2 linked regions of the Struthio camelus genome follow. The protein of the gene in region 2 purifies or fractionates together with the protein of the main gene of each other region. This does not show direct contact. Links are inferred from orthologs where the notes say so. Each region holds a gene or a part of one and is shown on either strand. Other genes may lie near its edges.

What was found. Proteins that work in one complex are often made in the same cells at the same time.
Region 1: the proteins of POLR3H (region 2) and CRCP purify together in Homo sapiens (affinity purification with mass spectrometry; 4 studies listed by BioGRID and IntAct, with this or other methods). This does not show direct contact. The link is inferred for Struthio camelus from reciprocal best matches to the Homo sapiens genes POLR3H and CRCP.

What each region holds. Positions count from the first base shown.
Region 1 is NC_090957.1:15,565,480-15,573,119, forward strand, and holds the start of CRCP (DNA-directed RNA polymerase III subunit RPC9), read left to right. Parts: upstream 1-4,625; 5' UTR 4,626-4,694; coding exon of another isoform or gene 4,695-4,702; intron 4,703-6,566; exon of another isoform or gene 6,567-6,706; intron 6,707-7,612; exon of another isoform or gene 7,613-7,640. UniProt on the Homo sapiens protein: DNA-dependent RNA polymerase catalyzes the transcription of DNA into RNA using the four ribonucleoside triphosphates as substrates.
Region 2 is NC_090942.1:56,716,519-56,723,439, forward strand, and holds the start of POLR3H (DNA-directed RNA polymerase III subunit RPC8), read left to right. Parts: upstream 1-3,921; 5' UTR 3,922-4,165; coding exon 4,166-4,327; intron 4,328-4,703; coding exon 4,704-4,829; intron 4,830-6,085; coding exon 6,086-6,182; intron 6,183-6,921.

The DNA of each region.
Region 1 (7,640 bases), on a different chromosome or scaffold from region 2:
CCTTCTCCTATTTTCACTAGGACATCTACACTAGGAAACAGGGCTTGATCATTTTGTCATCACATTCTGAATCCCCTCATTTTTACCACTTTTCTTGTCTCATTAGTCATTTAGGAGTGTCTTTGTCCTTATTCTGGGCTTTAACAGAAGGTTGCTGATGTGTTGCAAAAATAGTAAGCACTGAATTTATAACCAGAATGGACCATATACAGAGAGCATCTTTGCTTCATGATGCTTGTGATATAGGCTCAAGGTTCGGACACAACCTGTGTAAGGATTGCGTGTGTTTCTGTCTGAAGATATTGAACAGGACTTACCCAAACTAAAAAAGGGGGAAAGGGAGGGATCCCAGGTGCTCCAGGCAGAGATTGGTAACACAGTGACTTGATATGAAATATTCGTGATTATGTATCCTAGAGTTTGGCCTTGCTGCCATTGAAATCAATTGTTCCACTGGAAGCTGTGAGGTGGGGTTGGGACACGAATCTGCAGCCGTGTGCACTTGAGTATTTTTCAGGGGAGACAACTGAGTTCGATTTCTGCCGTGTTCTTTTTCATAATCTATGCCTTGACTCCAAATCTGGTTTTGCAAGAAAGAAGCCTTTTGTGGCTGTTACCAGATGATCTTATTTTTATTAATCTATGCCTGATATTATACATAGTAATGGATGTATGCTTTCACATGGCATCTGTCAGCAGTTTCACTGTGTACTTAACACATTTTATAGGGATTAGTTTGCTTGTAGTATGTTGTTTTAACTCCTGTCCTAGTTTGTATCTAGGAGATGTATTAATTCTCTCTTCTCCCATTTATAGATGAAATAGGATCTCTTAAAGAGGCTTGGCATCAGGGAGCTGAACTGTTTTTTGGGAAAACAGTGAAACAGCACTGCAAAATAGGTCTTCTAATGCACACTGAAATGTATTCTCATCATTACTATCTTCTCTGTTTGTTCTGTTTTTGTTGTCTTTCCACTTCCACTTCCTGTCTTATTCTTTCAGGCTTTTATTTGCTTAGTGAAATAGAAAAATTGCCCCCAAAAACCCAACGCATAGTTAAATACCAAGGAAGTTCTGATGAAAAAGTACCGTATGTTCTACTTATTTTCCATTCTGGACACAGTATCACGGCCTGCAGTGTATCCTCCTTCTAGGACTTTAGTTGGCTAAGTTGGAGTTTAGCTGGCTGAGTGGAAGTCAGCTCCTTTACTGATAAGAGCTGTCGTGAAGAAAGCTCTAAGCGAGGGCCTGCCCCTCCTTGCCCTTGGGAACTGCTCTGAAGCTGAGGTTTTACCGCTGGCCTCCGCCTGTGCTACACGGCAGCCGCACAGCAGCTAAGTCTGCGCCTGCTCTCCTACCTCCGTGAGTCTCACCTGGACCCGGACCCCCTGGCTGGGCTTCCTGGGCTGGCCGTGCACCTGCCTTGTCACGACAGTCTTGCTAGGTGAGCCGTGGACTGTGTCTGACCCTCACCGCTGTCTCTGGCCCTGATCCTGACCTGGTGGTGATGTTCTGCATCTCATCTCCTTGGTGGTGAGGTCACTGCTCGCTCCGGCCTTATTAGTGCACTCTACTCCTGCCTCACCTTCCCTTGCGGAGCAGCCAGCCCTCGCTGGTCATACATTAATATTCCCATCTATACTCTTTTCCAGGCTGATGTACTATGAGATAATGAGTAAATTGCCCCTTTTGCAGCATGGAGAGGTTTAATTAAATATATTTTAATGTCCTCAGAGATTCAAACTTTATTTGTATTTGCTTTTGTAATCAAGGTCACATCTTTACTATTTCTTTTAGAGTGCCTTTTTGTTGAAAGAGACTAATACGTGTGGAGTTTAGCTCTGAAGGAGAGCCTTAGGGATTTCTAGAAATACACTATTCATAGTAGGACTAATTGTAAAAACTGAGTCCAGTAAAGAAAGAAGAGGACATAAACTGCTGCTCTACACTATCTTTAAAAAACATTCTTTTTTAACTGTCATTTTGGTTTAGAAAAAGAAAAAAGCTCTATAGACTGAACGTGCTAGTCAAATGCACTGTCAGCTAGGCTGCTGTGAAGCAGTGCTGACATTTTTTGTTAAAAATCAACTTTGTTTAATGAATTTTGAATGTAAAAGAAAAAAAGACACTATAGGGTGATCAGCAAAATGCTGAATACAGTAAACATCTTTCATGACAAAGAATACAAATACCATGCAGATCTGCTTTCAATAGCAATTACTAGGCCCCCTGCTTTCAATAGTTAATACCGAGGCCCCTCTCTCACCAAGCCTTAGCGGTTACAATCACAAGCCAATGCTTAAAATGTTGACATGCTAAGCACATTTAGAAAACCTATGTCTGCATTCCCTATGGATGGTGTAGCATAACTGTCTAACATCTAAACTGCAACCATTAAAAACAAAGTTAACTCGGCTAATCATCCCACCTCTCCGGAAAAGTTGTAGGTATGGATAATGAGCTCTCTCTTAGAGATTCCTCTTCTCCCTTGCATGATGTCAGTGGATCTCTGGCCAGTCTATTTTTGTGAAATTGCCAACAGGGTGTATGTCTCCACTGGAAAATATTTAGGAAGGATATGTCTCTATTGGAAAAAAAATTCAAAAGCCATTCTGAGAGGCATGTGTATTATGCTTATTCTTCCCAGCAGCTGGGATGGGACATGGTCGTCAGGGCTTCTAAAAAAGTGTATCAGCAAAGGTCTGGAATGAGACTTTTGGAGAAACACTGAAAACGTAGATGATAAATTGCGTTTAGGGGAGAGAGATAAGGAGGAGGTGCCAAGGAGAATAAAATTAATATGCTTAAGATTTTCAACTCGTGTCTAAAGAGAATGATGAGGGGAAGACAAGGATTAGTGGATTTCTAGAACAAAACCCTGAAAAAGAGTCTGGAAGTATATTCTTGAAAGAAAGCTGACATTCTTTCTTTTCTTTTCTTCGCTTTGACCTAGCTGGGAGCAAGTGTACAAGCAGTTTCACAGACAAGGTTTGAAGCATGGCAGAGAAGTTACAGAGCATTTGCTGTGCCAGTTTTGGCCCAAGTACAAGGTCAGTTAATCCTGACATGAAAAAGGACAGCATCCATCACATCCTATCCACTAATTCAGACCAATGGCTTTCAGTCTGCAGTGTGAAGACCTTTCTCCTTGGTCTTTTTCCTAAGGATTGATGAAAGGTGATTCTGGAACAGGAATTAATTTCCGTCTGTGCTACAATCTGTGTACGTGAACATGGCCCACATATCCACTGACACTTTTTCAGGGGTCTGCAACTGAAAAGGGCTGAAAAACCTTTGCAGCAGGGTTTTAAACTTTGCCCACCTCTTAGACACCTGATCGCGGTGGTACACCCAAGTACCCGAGTGCGTCTCCCGCTGTCCTTGCACTGAAGACTGCCCTTGAACCGCTGCAGTTTGGTCCCATCCTTCAGAGCTAGGTGAGGATTTCTAACACCGCAGAGAGAAGCAACGTCCCAGACTGAGGGTGGACCTTCTTCTGGCTTGATTCTGGAGGGAAAACTGGGTGAATGAATTTTCTGCTAGTATCACAGGACAAGCGAGGGAGCTTGTGGGCACAAAATATCCAACCGGTTTGGCTCCCTAGATTTCTCTTAACAAGCATGCATGTGTGATTCTGTAGGGAGTTACTGCTGTCGTGTTTGTATATAAACTTCTACCTGAGGGGCCAATAGCAAAATAAGTGATTTAATGTATTCCTGGCTCTCAATCTCTGATGCAGACGTAATTATCCCTGCTGCAGCCATTGGGATTTTCAGTTATTTGCACTCAATGAAATGTGTTCAGTTTTCTCAAGAGTGAAAAGAGCTCTTGCAAAATGTAGTAGCATATGTAAGAAAAGAGAAAGACTCAGGCTGATGGTGGAAAAAGACATATAATGAGCCTGAAGATGTATGCACAGGTGTTTTCAAAGACGACTGGAGGAAAGGGAGTATTATACAGCTTACAGTGTTCTGTTTGCACGCAGCTAGAAATTTGGTTTGGAAGGACCTCTAAAATACAATTTTTTTTCATTGTTATCATGTCTAAAGTGCCTAATTTTCAGAATCCAAATAGATTTTCAGAACATATTTTGCCCCACGTATCATTTTTGTAGTGAGCTTTCTGTCCACGGTAGTTACCGTTCTGGAAAAGTGCAATTTGTCTTTCCTTTAAAAACATAAAGGATCTGTTGCCTGTAATTCTGTATTATATGCTAATTTTCTATATGATCCAGAGGGACTAGCAGGCACATCTGTTTTAAACTTTCGTGAAAGCCCGAGAGGTCTTTTACTGCTCCGTGAAGATTTTGCGAAAGTGAGATAGGATCAGTGCAAAAACGCTCTCGCACGGGTAGAGGGGCGCGGCCGGAAAAACAGCTTCTACCGGGGGCATTGGTGGTTCAGTGGTAGAATTCTCGCCTGCCACGCGGGAGGCCCGGGTTCGATTCCCGGCCAATGCAACTGCGCTTTTTTGGTTTCTTGTTTTTTTTTTTCCTCCCCCCCTTCCCTCTCTCCCTCTTTGTCCATTTTTCCTCCTTCCTGAGTCCCGAAACCGCTTTCAGCTCAGCCCCGACCTCCCCAGCGCTCCCCTCGCCGTGGCTCAGCGGGCGGCGGCGCGCGCGGGGGGAAGCGGAAGGTGCCCGGGCGGGCGGCGGCCGCGGGCGGCCTCAGCGCGCAGCTGCGCGCGGGGACAAGATGGAGGTGTAAGGAGGCGGCGGGCGCGAGGGGCGGGAGCGGGCCGGGGCCGGGATCCTCCCCGCCCGCGGCGGGTTACGGCCGCTGGGACCCGCGGCTGTGCTGGGGGGGGGGTGGGGGGTGTATGTGTATGGGGCTGCCCGCGGTGTGCGTGTTTGGGGGGGGTGGTATATGTGGGGCTGCCTGAAGTGTGTGTGGGGGGGAGGGTTGTATGCGTATGGGCCCTCCTGTAGTGTGTGTATAGGGGGGATATGTATATGGGGCTGGGGGGGCAGACGTGCGTGGGCCCTGGCGCGGGGGGCTGGGGGGGCAGACGTGCGTGGGCCCTGGCGCAGGGGGCTGGGGGGGGGCAGACGTGCGTGGGCCCTGGCGCAGGGGGGCTGGGGGGGCAGACGTGCGTGGGCCCTGGCGCAGGGGGCTGGGGGGGGCAGACGTGCGTGGGCCCTGGCGCAGGGGGCTGGGGGGGCAGACGTGCGTGGGCCCTGGCGCAGGGGGCTGGGGGGGGCAGACGTGCGTGGGCCCTGGCGCGGGGGGCTGGGGGGGCAGACGTGCGTGGGCCCTGGCGCGGGGGGCTGGGGGGCAGACGTGCGTGGGCCCTGGCGCGGGGGGCTGGGGGGGGCAGACGTGCGTGGGCCCTGGCGCGGGGGGCGTGGGCCGGGGCAGACGTGCGTGGGCCCTGGCGCAGGGGGCTGGGGGGGCAGACGTGCGTGGGCCCTGGCGCAGGGGGGCTGGGGGGGGCAGACGTGCGTGGGCCCTGGCGCGGGGGGCGTGGGCCGGGGCAGACGTGCGTGGGCCCTGGCGCGGGGGGCTGGGGGGGCAGACGTGCGTGGGCCCTGGCGCAGGGGGGCTGGGGGGGCAGACGTGCGTGGGCCCTGGCGCGGGGGGCTGGGGGGGGGCAGACGTGCGTGGGCCCTGGCGCAGGGGGTGTGGGCCGGGGCAGACGTGCGTGGGCCCTGGCGCGGGGGGCTGGGGGGGCAGACGTGCGTGGGCCCTGGCGCAGGGGGTGTGGGCCGGGCAATATACCCGCTGCACCCAGTAAGAATTCCCGGAGCGCGCCCCGTTCGGGGAGCGCCATGGCCACTGTGGCGTCTGGTCCTGGCCAGGGGCCGTGCTAGGGGCCGTCGTACCCCTCAGTTGGGCCTTTGCCTCCGATGCCTCGCGTTCGTTTGGGCGTTCTGACGAGAAGCTGAGGTTTTCCGTTTGCTTTGCAAATATTGCTGAAACGTCCGTTTATTTGGGAAAAAGACATTGCAGCTTAGTTTTAATCCTGCTCTGGGTCCGCATCCCCCCTTCCTTCCCTTCCCCTCCTGCCTGGTGGGACGTGCCTGCATGCAGCCTTCTCCCTTTCCTTTCTTTTTTTAATCACCCGCCAGGCAAGCCTGGCAAAACAAGGCAAGGCGAATGGCCTGCAGAATCGCCTGCAGGCTGAGAACAGTTTCTGTGAAGGGCAAATAAACCCTTGATGGGAAGAGCAGAACGTGCTGGCGGGGAGAAGCAGCAAACACAGCGGGCGGGCGCAAATGCCCGCGGCAGGTCTAGCTTTTGGCCAGCCCGCCGTGGCTGGCAGGAAGAGCAGCCGGCCTGGCCCCGATGTCAGCACCGCTAACGTTACCTGCGCTATTGCAATTCATGCTATCCGTGGATGCTTTGTTATCATTAAATGTGCTACACTTCAAAAGTAGATAATAAGCAGTCATCAAAATATTAGTTTGTATCCCCATTGGCCTTAACGTGAGTAACAATCTGCAGGGAAATGCCCCGTTCTTGCCGTTGTGTCCCCCAAAATGCTGTGAAACGGGTGCACAGCCAGGCTCGAAGATGCGTGGGGAAAGATAGGATTTACCCTGCTGAAGAAGATTCTTTTGGCACCATTAATTCTTAAGTCTGCGGTGCCGCTTATGCACCTGCTTGATTTTTACTACCCCGAGTAGTAAAAACCCCAAGTTATTTTAATGGTGCTACTTCTTTTAGTACCAGGAGGAAGGTGCACCTGGGCCCCAAAGTCCTGACCGGTGAGTGGACCCTTGCGTCAAAATTGAGCAATCTAGTCCGTTTTGGACTTTGAATTGCCGTTGCAATCGCATCTTGTGCTTCCCTACCGCGTACCTCTTGCCTGGCAGCCCCTTCATAAAGGGACAGTCTGCAGCTAGGAAAACCTGCCTTACCTAAGGCCTTACCGTTTCAGAAGTATCTGTTACTAGAGGGGGGGGGAAAAAAACCTCCGCAAAATGCTTTAGTTTAAATGTAAAACATTTTTCAGCAGTAGATTTAAAACAGGAGGTGCCGGTGGTATTTTCGAAGATGTGATACCGTGCACTGAGCTACTTTTTGATATTGCGTGGAGAAGACAGTCTCAGTAATGTTTTGAACAAAAATTTGGAGCAGTAATAGCTGTGTAGTGTTTACAGATTTAGTGTTAACATCGCGTTTTCCTATCTTTTTTTTTGTTTAAACCTTAATCTCATAAAAGCCAAGCATACTGTTTAGCTGTCTATTTTAAAAATATACACTACTAGAATTCATTCTTTATAATTTTTTCTTAATTTGATTTTTTTAAAGTTTTTTTTAGCATTTATGAGAGTTAGGACAGAAGAAAGCAATTATATTTCTGCTTTGTAAATGCTACAAAAGTCTTTGAAACACTAGACTTGTTAGTTTATAATTCTGATATTTCAGCACAACAAAAATTCTTGAAGATTTGAGATTTAAGTGGGCTCATGTTTGTAATCCAATGTTACAGAAAAATAGGCATTTTTCTAAGAGACAAAATGTTACACGATTATAAAGGAAGCAATTGTCTTCCAGAGTTTTAAAATCAGTTTCCCAGAGACTCTGATTCTTGCACGGTAAATTGTTGACTCTGTATGATCATCTCACTTGTTTAATTGAATGATTCTATATATTTAATTCTTCCGCAGCAGTATTGTTTCCAACAGAGAATGTCCT
Region 2 (6,921 bases):
GTGCTCGGCTGGCAGGACCCTACGAGCTGCTCTGTCATGCAAGGGTGGCCAAGGCACCCTGGAGAGACGTCAATGCACGAGGCACGCCACTTGTGTGTGCCAGCAAGGGGCTGCATTGCAAGTAAATGGAATAATTTCTATAATACTTTTAATATTTCTACATTGAATATTCCAAATGCTTGTATTTCCCACCTTATTTGTCATACAGCAGCGTTAGCTGTAAAAAGTTTGCAGCCCAGCTGCATGTGTTAAGCAATGTGACCTGAACAGGAGATTAATATCAGAATCTGACTCTGCCAAGTAGTCACTAAAGGCTTTAGAAGGAAAAAGAATAGGGGACTCGGAGTACATTTGACTAGAAGGTTGTTCTAGGCATGCACTGCAGTGGAAAAGGCAGAGAGTCTAAAGCATGTAAAAATGATAAAAGGAGAGAAGGGGAAGCTTTGATCAAAGAGAGAGTGGGAGTGAGGGTGCTGGAGGTGCCTGCAGAGATGGAAGCAAAAGCAGGAGAGTGGAAGTCTTTGTACATGAGAAGATGCATAATTCTTTTGGAGTCAATCAAACTGGGGCCAAAGCAGTCTAGATGCAAATTACCATTCACCTCCTTCCATGTTCCTGAGTCATTTTTCCCCAAAACCCATGGGAATGTGGAGGCAGAGATTTTAAACAAAACAGTTTTGGAGTTCCTTTCATTTTCCTCCTGGTTTCTGAGCCTTTGGGTAACTGCAGTTTGTGTTTTCAAGTTTTCCTCTACAACTGTGAGAAGGAGAAATGTCTGGGATTTTTTTTCAAGTGGCAGAAAGATCCTTGTGCAATCACTGGGTTCCAGCCACTGAAGCTTCAGAAAAACAACAGCAAAGAACCGCATTCCCAAATACTGGGAAAGCCACGATGCTACTGAGAGACTCTAGAGTCTCTGCATAGTTACGTACACAATCATCTGTACAGACCCTTATGTGGATTTGCGGGTACTCATCGAATCAATACTACTGGGACAAAGAGGGACCGCTCAGCAAGACAAGTTTACACAGTCTCCAACATAGAGATACCTTAGCCACAGTATTAAATATAACGTACTTCTGAGCTGCTATCAATAGCTGAGTTGAGACAACACCAATGTTTCCCAAGGCAAAGTTTGGCTTTGGTTTGTGTTTTTATATTAGAGATGGAGCTTGTGACCAGGGCCGCTGGAAAGAGAGAATTCCTGCAGGGAGAAAACCTTGATAGTAACAGTGCAACATCCATCATGTGTCCTAAGGCCCAGGCAGACCTCACCATGGGAACGGAAGGGATATCTGCAGAGGATGAGAGTGGAAATCGTTCTCTACAGCCTATGGCATTACCGGCAGAGGCTGAGAAATTGCCAATTAGGCCAAGCTCTGATGTTGCTTGTAGTCTAGTGTCTTAAGGCAACGAAGCTCATACGATCGTGCCATCTGCCAGCTTTCTCCTCACGCATTTCAATTCAGCTTCCCCCAAGGTACTATCAAAGATAGTAACCCCGGCAAGTTTCAACAAAGCATGTAGCTGCATATATGTAGCTGCATAGAGAAGAGGGATCCTGTTAGTGTCCTTATTGAGAAACACATATTGCAGAGTTTAGCCTTTATTAGCCATCAGAGAGATGACAAAGGAGACAGAAATTCTGCATGTCCCAACCCTAGAAAACCTTGCTTGGTGTCTACACTTTATGAGACACCAAAGACCTAAGCATTAGACACAAGTCAGTAGGAAACTAGGTCCAGCAGACCTCACAACTGTTTTTTCTGGGCTCTGGACTAAGCTGAAGTGAGATGTGCCGGTTTTATATTGGGCTCTCAACAGACCCTGATGAGGCATGGTTATTGGCAGCATGAAAAAGATCAGCTCAAAGGTGGGCTAGAAATGGGAGTGTGATAGGACTCTGTCCAAATTTCCTTCTCCTGTCAACCTCCCATATTCTCCTAGGTTTTCAGCTTCTTATTCCTGTCTACCTCTGCCCCTGTTTAACTCTTTAGTTCTTATATACCAAAGTATCCAGGGTGATCAGCTTTCTAATACCAGCACAGTATCAACATCTACCTCCTTTTGTGACACCAAGCCAATTTCTTCCCCTGCCATCAGAAGAGGGACACGGTCAGAAACTTTTCTCTCTTCTGAAAAAGTACCTACAGACATCCACAAAAAGTGCACTCCACTACACTCAAACTCCAAGGTCAAACCTTGCGCTGACAAACTTGCGTGGGGTCAGGACAGGACAGCGAGGGATGTAGCACGTGTGCCTGCAAAGCTGAGCTGCGCTGAGATTAGAGCAGCAGCAACTGTAGAGCAAGAGAAAGGAGCCTTTGTAAGGCTTTCTGGAACTAGGACGAGAAGAGCAAGAAACGCTGCAGATTTGGGTTGAGGTGTCCTGATAGAGCGGTGCCTGCTGCATTTAAGAGCTCAGAACTGAGAAAATAGAGGATGCTCCAAGACAAATGCTGCTGCTTCTCAGATGACAGTGGAAAATTTGTTCCTGGCCCCCCACCCCAACCCATGAAATACAAACAAGCCAAACGCTTGCAGACCAGCCATGTTTATTAAAAAACCCCACAGATCCTGCTGAAACAGGAGTAACTGTGAAGAGAGATCAGAAACTCCTTGGACAAGACAGGTATCTTGTTAATAAGGCCTAGCCATGACATTTGCAACCTCATTTTCCCTTTGCCGCTCCAAGACTGCTCAACATTTAATGATTTCTTATCTAAAACACTCATTACTGTCCTAGTATATGCTACTGGGGGGTGAAGGGGATGACATAGTGTTTGCATCAAAGCCATTGTGCTGACAGTGCAGTTTTGACTGTCAGCCACTGAGATGTTTGGTTTTCCTTGAGACTCTTTTTTTAAACACACTTCAAACAATCTCCTTTCTTTTTTTCACAGCAATTTCAGACATTAGCACATCTCCTTGTTTTCAATAGTCCCTCATGCTGCTTCGCTTGCTGCAAAATGCACTGTACAATGGGAACTTTTTTTTTAATTAACACTCAGATTCCCAGGTGGAATAAATTATTCCAGCTCTATGTGATGCCAATTTATATCTGAAAACAATCTTGACCTAAGCTTCAGGCAGTTGCTATTGTGAAAATACCTTCCAAATACAAGTTGGATATAAATCCACTCGGTTTTGCTGCATAGGTTTGTAAAATAGGTTTGTAAAAGCTTGAAGTATCAGCTCTAAGAGAGATGCAAACTTTGATCCCTGCTGCCACATTGGTATTGAAGCTTATGAAAATGATAAATGAAATGGTAATATTGGTAACTGTAATTGTGGATTCTTTTAGAAGAGACAATAACTAATACACTTAAATGATCTCCAAGGAGCGATGTGGAACACCGGGCTCGGGAAAAGGACAGGTATTCACAAAGAGGTCCTGCGTAGGACGCGTAGTTGCTGAAGCCTTTCCAAGTTTCAGATCGCTTATGTCCCCAGCCTCAGCCGGAAGAAGAAAGGGAAGAACTGCTCCTCCTGCCACAGCAGGAAAAGCCTCCAGCTCTGTGGGGCTTGCATTACGGGTATTAAAACTGTGAAACAACGCTTGAGGTACCAAACTCCTAGCAGTATGCTCTTGAAAACCACCGCGCTGATCCTCCTAACTGCTATAGCACAGAAACACATTACTGCAAAGCACTGGGGCACATATAACATTTAAAGCAGCCTAAGTAAATCAAATACAAAATAAATCACACACAGAGGCATATCTTCACGCTTCATTGACCAAAACTATCGCCTTTACTGAAAGCCTGGCACCCAGGACGCAGCCAGAACAGGTGCCTGGGACTGCCCAGCCAAGAGCAGCTGGGTAACCTGTTTCAGGAGTCGCGTGAGGGTGGTAATTCAAGAAAACCCCACGTCCCCAGTGACAAGCTCCCTCCTTCCCAGGAGGGCTGGGCCAGAGACGCCGCCACGGTGCCACACGCACACCGAGCGCCATCCTGGCTCCTCACAGCCGCTCGCGGCCGAGGCAGCGCCGCACAGGCTGCGGCAGGAGGCCAGCTCTTTATAAACGGAAGTACAAAAGGCACAGCGCTCCCTAGCAGCATTCCCGGGCCTCCCGTCCACCCCGAGCTGGGCACTCGCCGGAGCCACGCGCCGCTAACGGCCGCCAACGGCACGGCCCCGCCCCGCACTGAGGCGGGACAAAATGGCCCCCCGGCGGCGGCGGCGGCGGCGGAGCGGGGCGGTGCCCTCCTCCCCACGCCCCGCCCCCCTCCTCCCTCCGAGCCGGCCCGCGGGAGGCGATTGGCTGAGGCGCCGGAAGCCGCGCGAGGTTACGGGGCAGCGTGGCCGGGCTGGCGTGGGTCAGGTGGGTGTGCGGGCGCGGCGCTGAGCTCCCCCCCCGCCCCGCCCCGCCCCGGGGGGCGCCGCCGCCTCCCCCCCCTACCACCCCGCCCCCCTCCCCGCAGCGGGCCGGGAAGCTGCGCTGGCTCTGAGGGAGGGAGAGGGTCGCCGGGCCGGGCGGGAGCGGCCGGAGGGAGGGGAACCCCCGCGCGAGCCGCTGCCCAACGGCCGCTGCCCAACGGCCGCGCAGGCCGTTGGGCGGCTTGTCGCTGGGTGCTGCGGCCGGCGGGAGGGCGGTGGTTTCCCAGGCGCAGGCGGCGTCAGCTGCCCGGGTGCCTCGTGGGCTCCTTAGGTGCTTCTGCCCCTGAGCAAGCGGCTGTATTCGCTCTCTTTGCCCCGAGGTACTCCCAGCCATCATGTTTGTCCTGGTAGAGATGACCGACACCGTGAGAATTCCTCCCTGGCAGTTTGAAAGGAAACTGAACGAATCCATTGCTGAGGAGCTAAACAAAAAATTGGCCAACAAGGTAAAGTGTGGGTCATCTAAAGGGTGATACAGGCTTCGTAGCATCCCCCTGTAACTGGGCGTTTCTGTATTTGTTCCTGATGAGACATGTGTGCGGAGTATCAGTTTACTTTACACGTGAGGGCCATCCCAGAGACTGGACTGTCAGAGACTGTAAAGGAAGAGACAGCTAGGTATCGTCTTGAAGGAAGATATTTTTCTCTAATAGCTAATGCTGTAAAGGGCAGATACCAAAATGCCAGATGGGGCAGAGAACCACTGAAGAGAAATGAGAGTAACTGTTGTTTTGTGGGCAGAGCTGCAACCTGAAATGGAGTCTGAAAAACGAATGCAAACTAACCTAGCCTATGGGGATTTTAAAAAAAGACAACGGAGATAAATGTGGAACAATAATATTGTAAGAGAACTGAAGGTGATAATATCAGTCCTGCTCTGTGCTAAGTACTTGAAATATAGTATGGCAGCAAGAAGCTGACCTTTGGTGTAGGATAGAGAAAAGCATTTTGTCATAGGCCAGGAGGTTGCAGCTTCTCTGTGGAACCCCTGGGGCTGTGATTAACCTACAGCTTTCAGCGTGAGACAGGTGCAAAACTCAAAATGCCGATAGTGAATGTGAAGAGAGCTCAAAAGAGCAACCAGAAGTGATCTAGGCTTGTGGACAGCAGACTATATTTACAGACAGGTTATGGAAAACAGATCTGTCATCCACTGATGACTGATAGATGCTTCAAACTTACTAAGCTGTGAAGCTATCGCAGAAGTGGCAAAGGAGGCAAGAGTTTTCTTCATCTGTGCCCGTAGCTCTTATAATTTAAGACAAAGGCAAGTCTTAGAGGCTCCTGAGAGTGCAACTTTAGCAAGAAATATATTTGGCCTTTAGATAAGCTATGGGGTTGGTGAGTGATGTCTGTCCTTTCCTATGGGCAAGTGTTTGCCATCGTGGCCAGTCAAGTTTTCTGGTCACTGATGATCACCCCAAGGGTTTCTGTTTGTAGCAGTGCTCTTTCTAGTGCCCGTAAAAAAACACATCCTCCCATAATGCTTGAATAAGAGCGAGGTTTTAGGTTCCTCTAAACAGTTAGAAGTGTGGATGGGGCTGTTGAAAGAGAGTACCAAAACATCCCCCTCCCATCTTGCCACTCTTCCATTGCCTTCCTTTGAAAAAGTGTGTACAGAATATAAATTTGAAAATAGTTAACCTGGAGGTGGATTGCTTGATTTATTGGGTTTTTTTTAAATTGTTTTTTCTTTGAGCAGGTTGTATACAATGTCGGTCTCTGCATCTGTCTGTACGATATTACAAAACTGGAAGATTCATACATATTCCCTGGAGATGGTGCATCACATACCAAAGGTTTATTCTTTCCCTCAGTTATATGGCTTTGCAGAATGTTAATGACCCAGAAGTGTAAACTAAGTTTAATTGTTATGTAAATTAAATTTAAAGGAACTTATTGAAGTTCACAACCTTAACTCTGTCCTTCTAGGAAGCCAAGAGGAACATGGCAGGAGTCTTTCCTTTGCTTTTTTTGTGACAAACGTAGCTTTAAATAGGCCGTCCTGTCTGCCTTCACCAACCGTCCATCTCTCTTTTCCTTATCCAGCAGCTATGCTACTAATTGGAAGGGGACTAACTGAATTTGAAGTGATTGGAAATCTGCAAATAGAAAATAGTTTGTATTAGTTCTCTTGTGTTTGTCCAGTGTTTTTTCTTTGCTTATTTGCTCTAGCTAGAAAGATGAAACTTGTTTCTAAATATAGCTTTCACACAATATTTGATGCTGTTTTTCTAAATGGGAGTTTTGCTACCTTTTTTTTTTTTTTTTGAGACTTAGGCAGATCTAGTTCAGCATACATTTATGATTGTGGGGGTTTGGGGTTTTTGTTTGTTCAGAAAATAGCAGATGATTACCTTCTTTACTTTTGAATTTTTGTCAGATCTGTCTGAATCAAAACTAGAACTAAATGCGTAAGAGATTTTTTTTGTTCGTTTGTTAGAATAAGTTCCTTTAAATGAGCTAGGAAGTGATGCATGTTTCTAACTTCAATTTTCAATGTAGAAGCGTAGCTCGAACAAATGAGATATTTCCTAT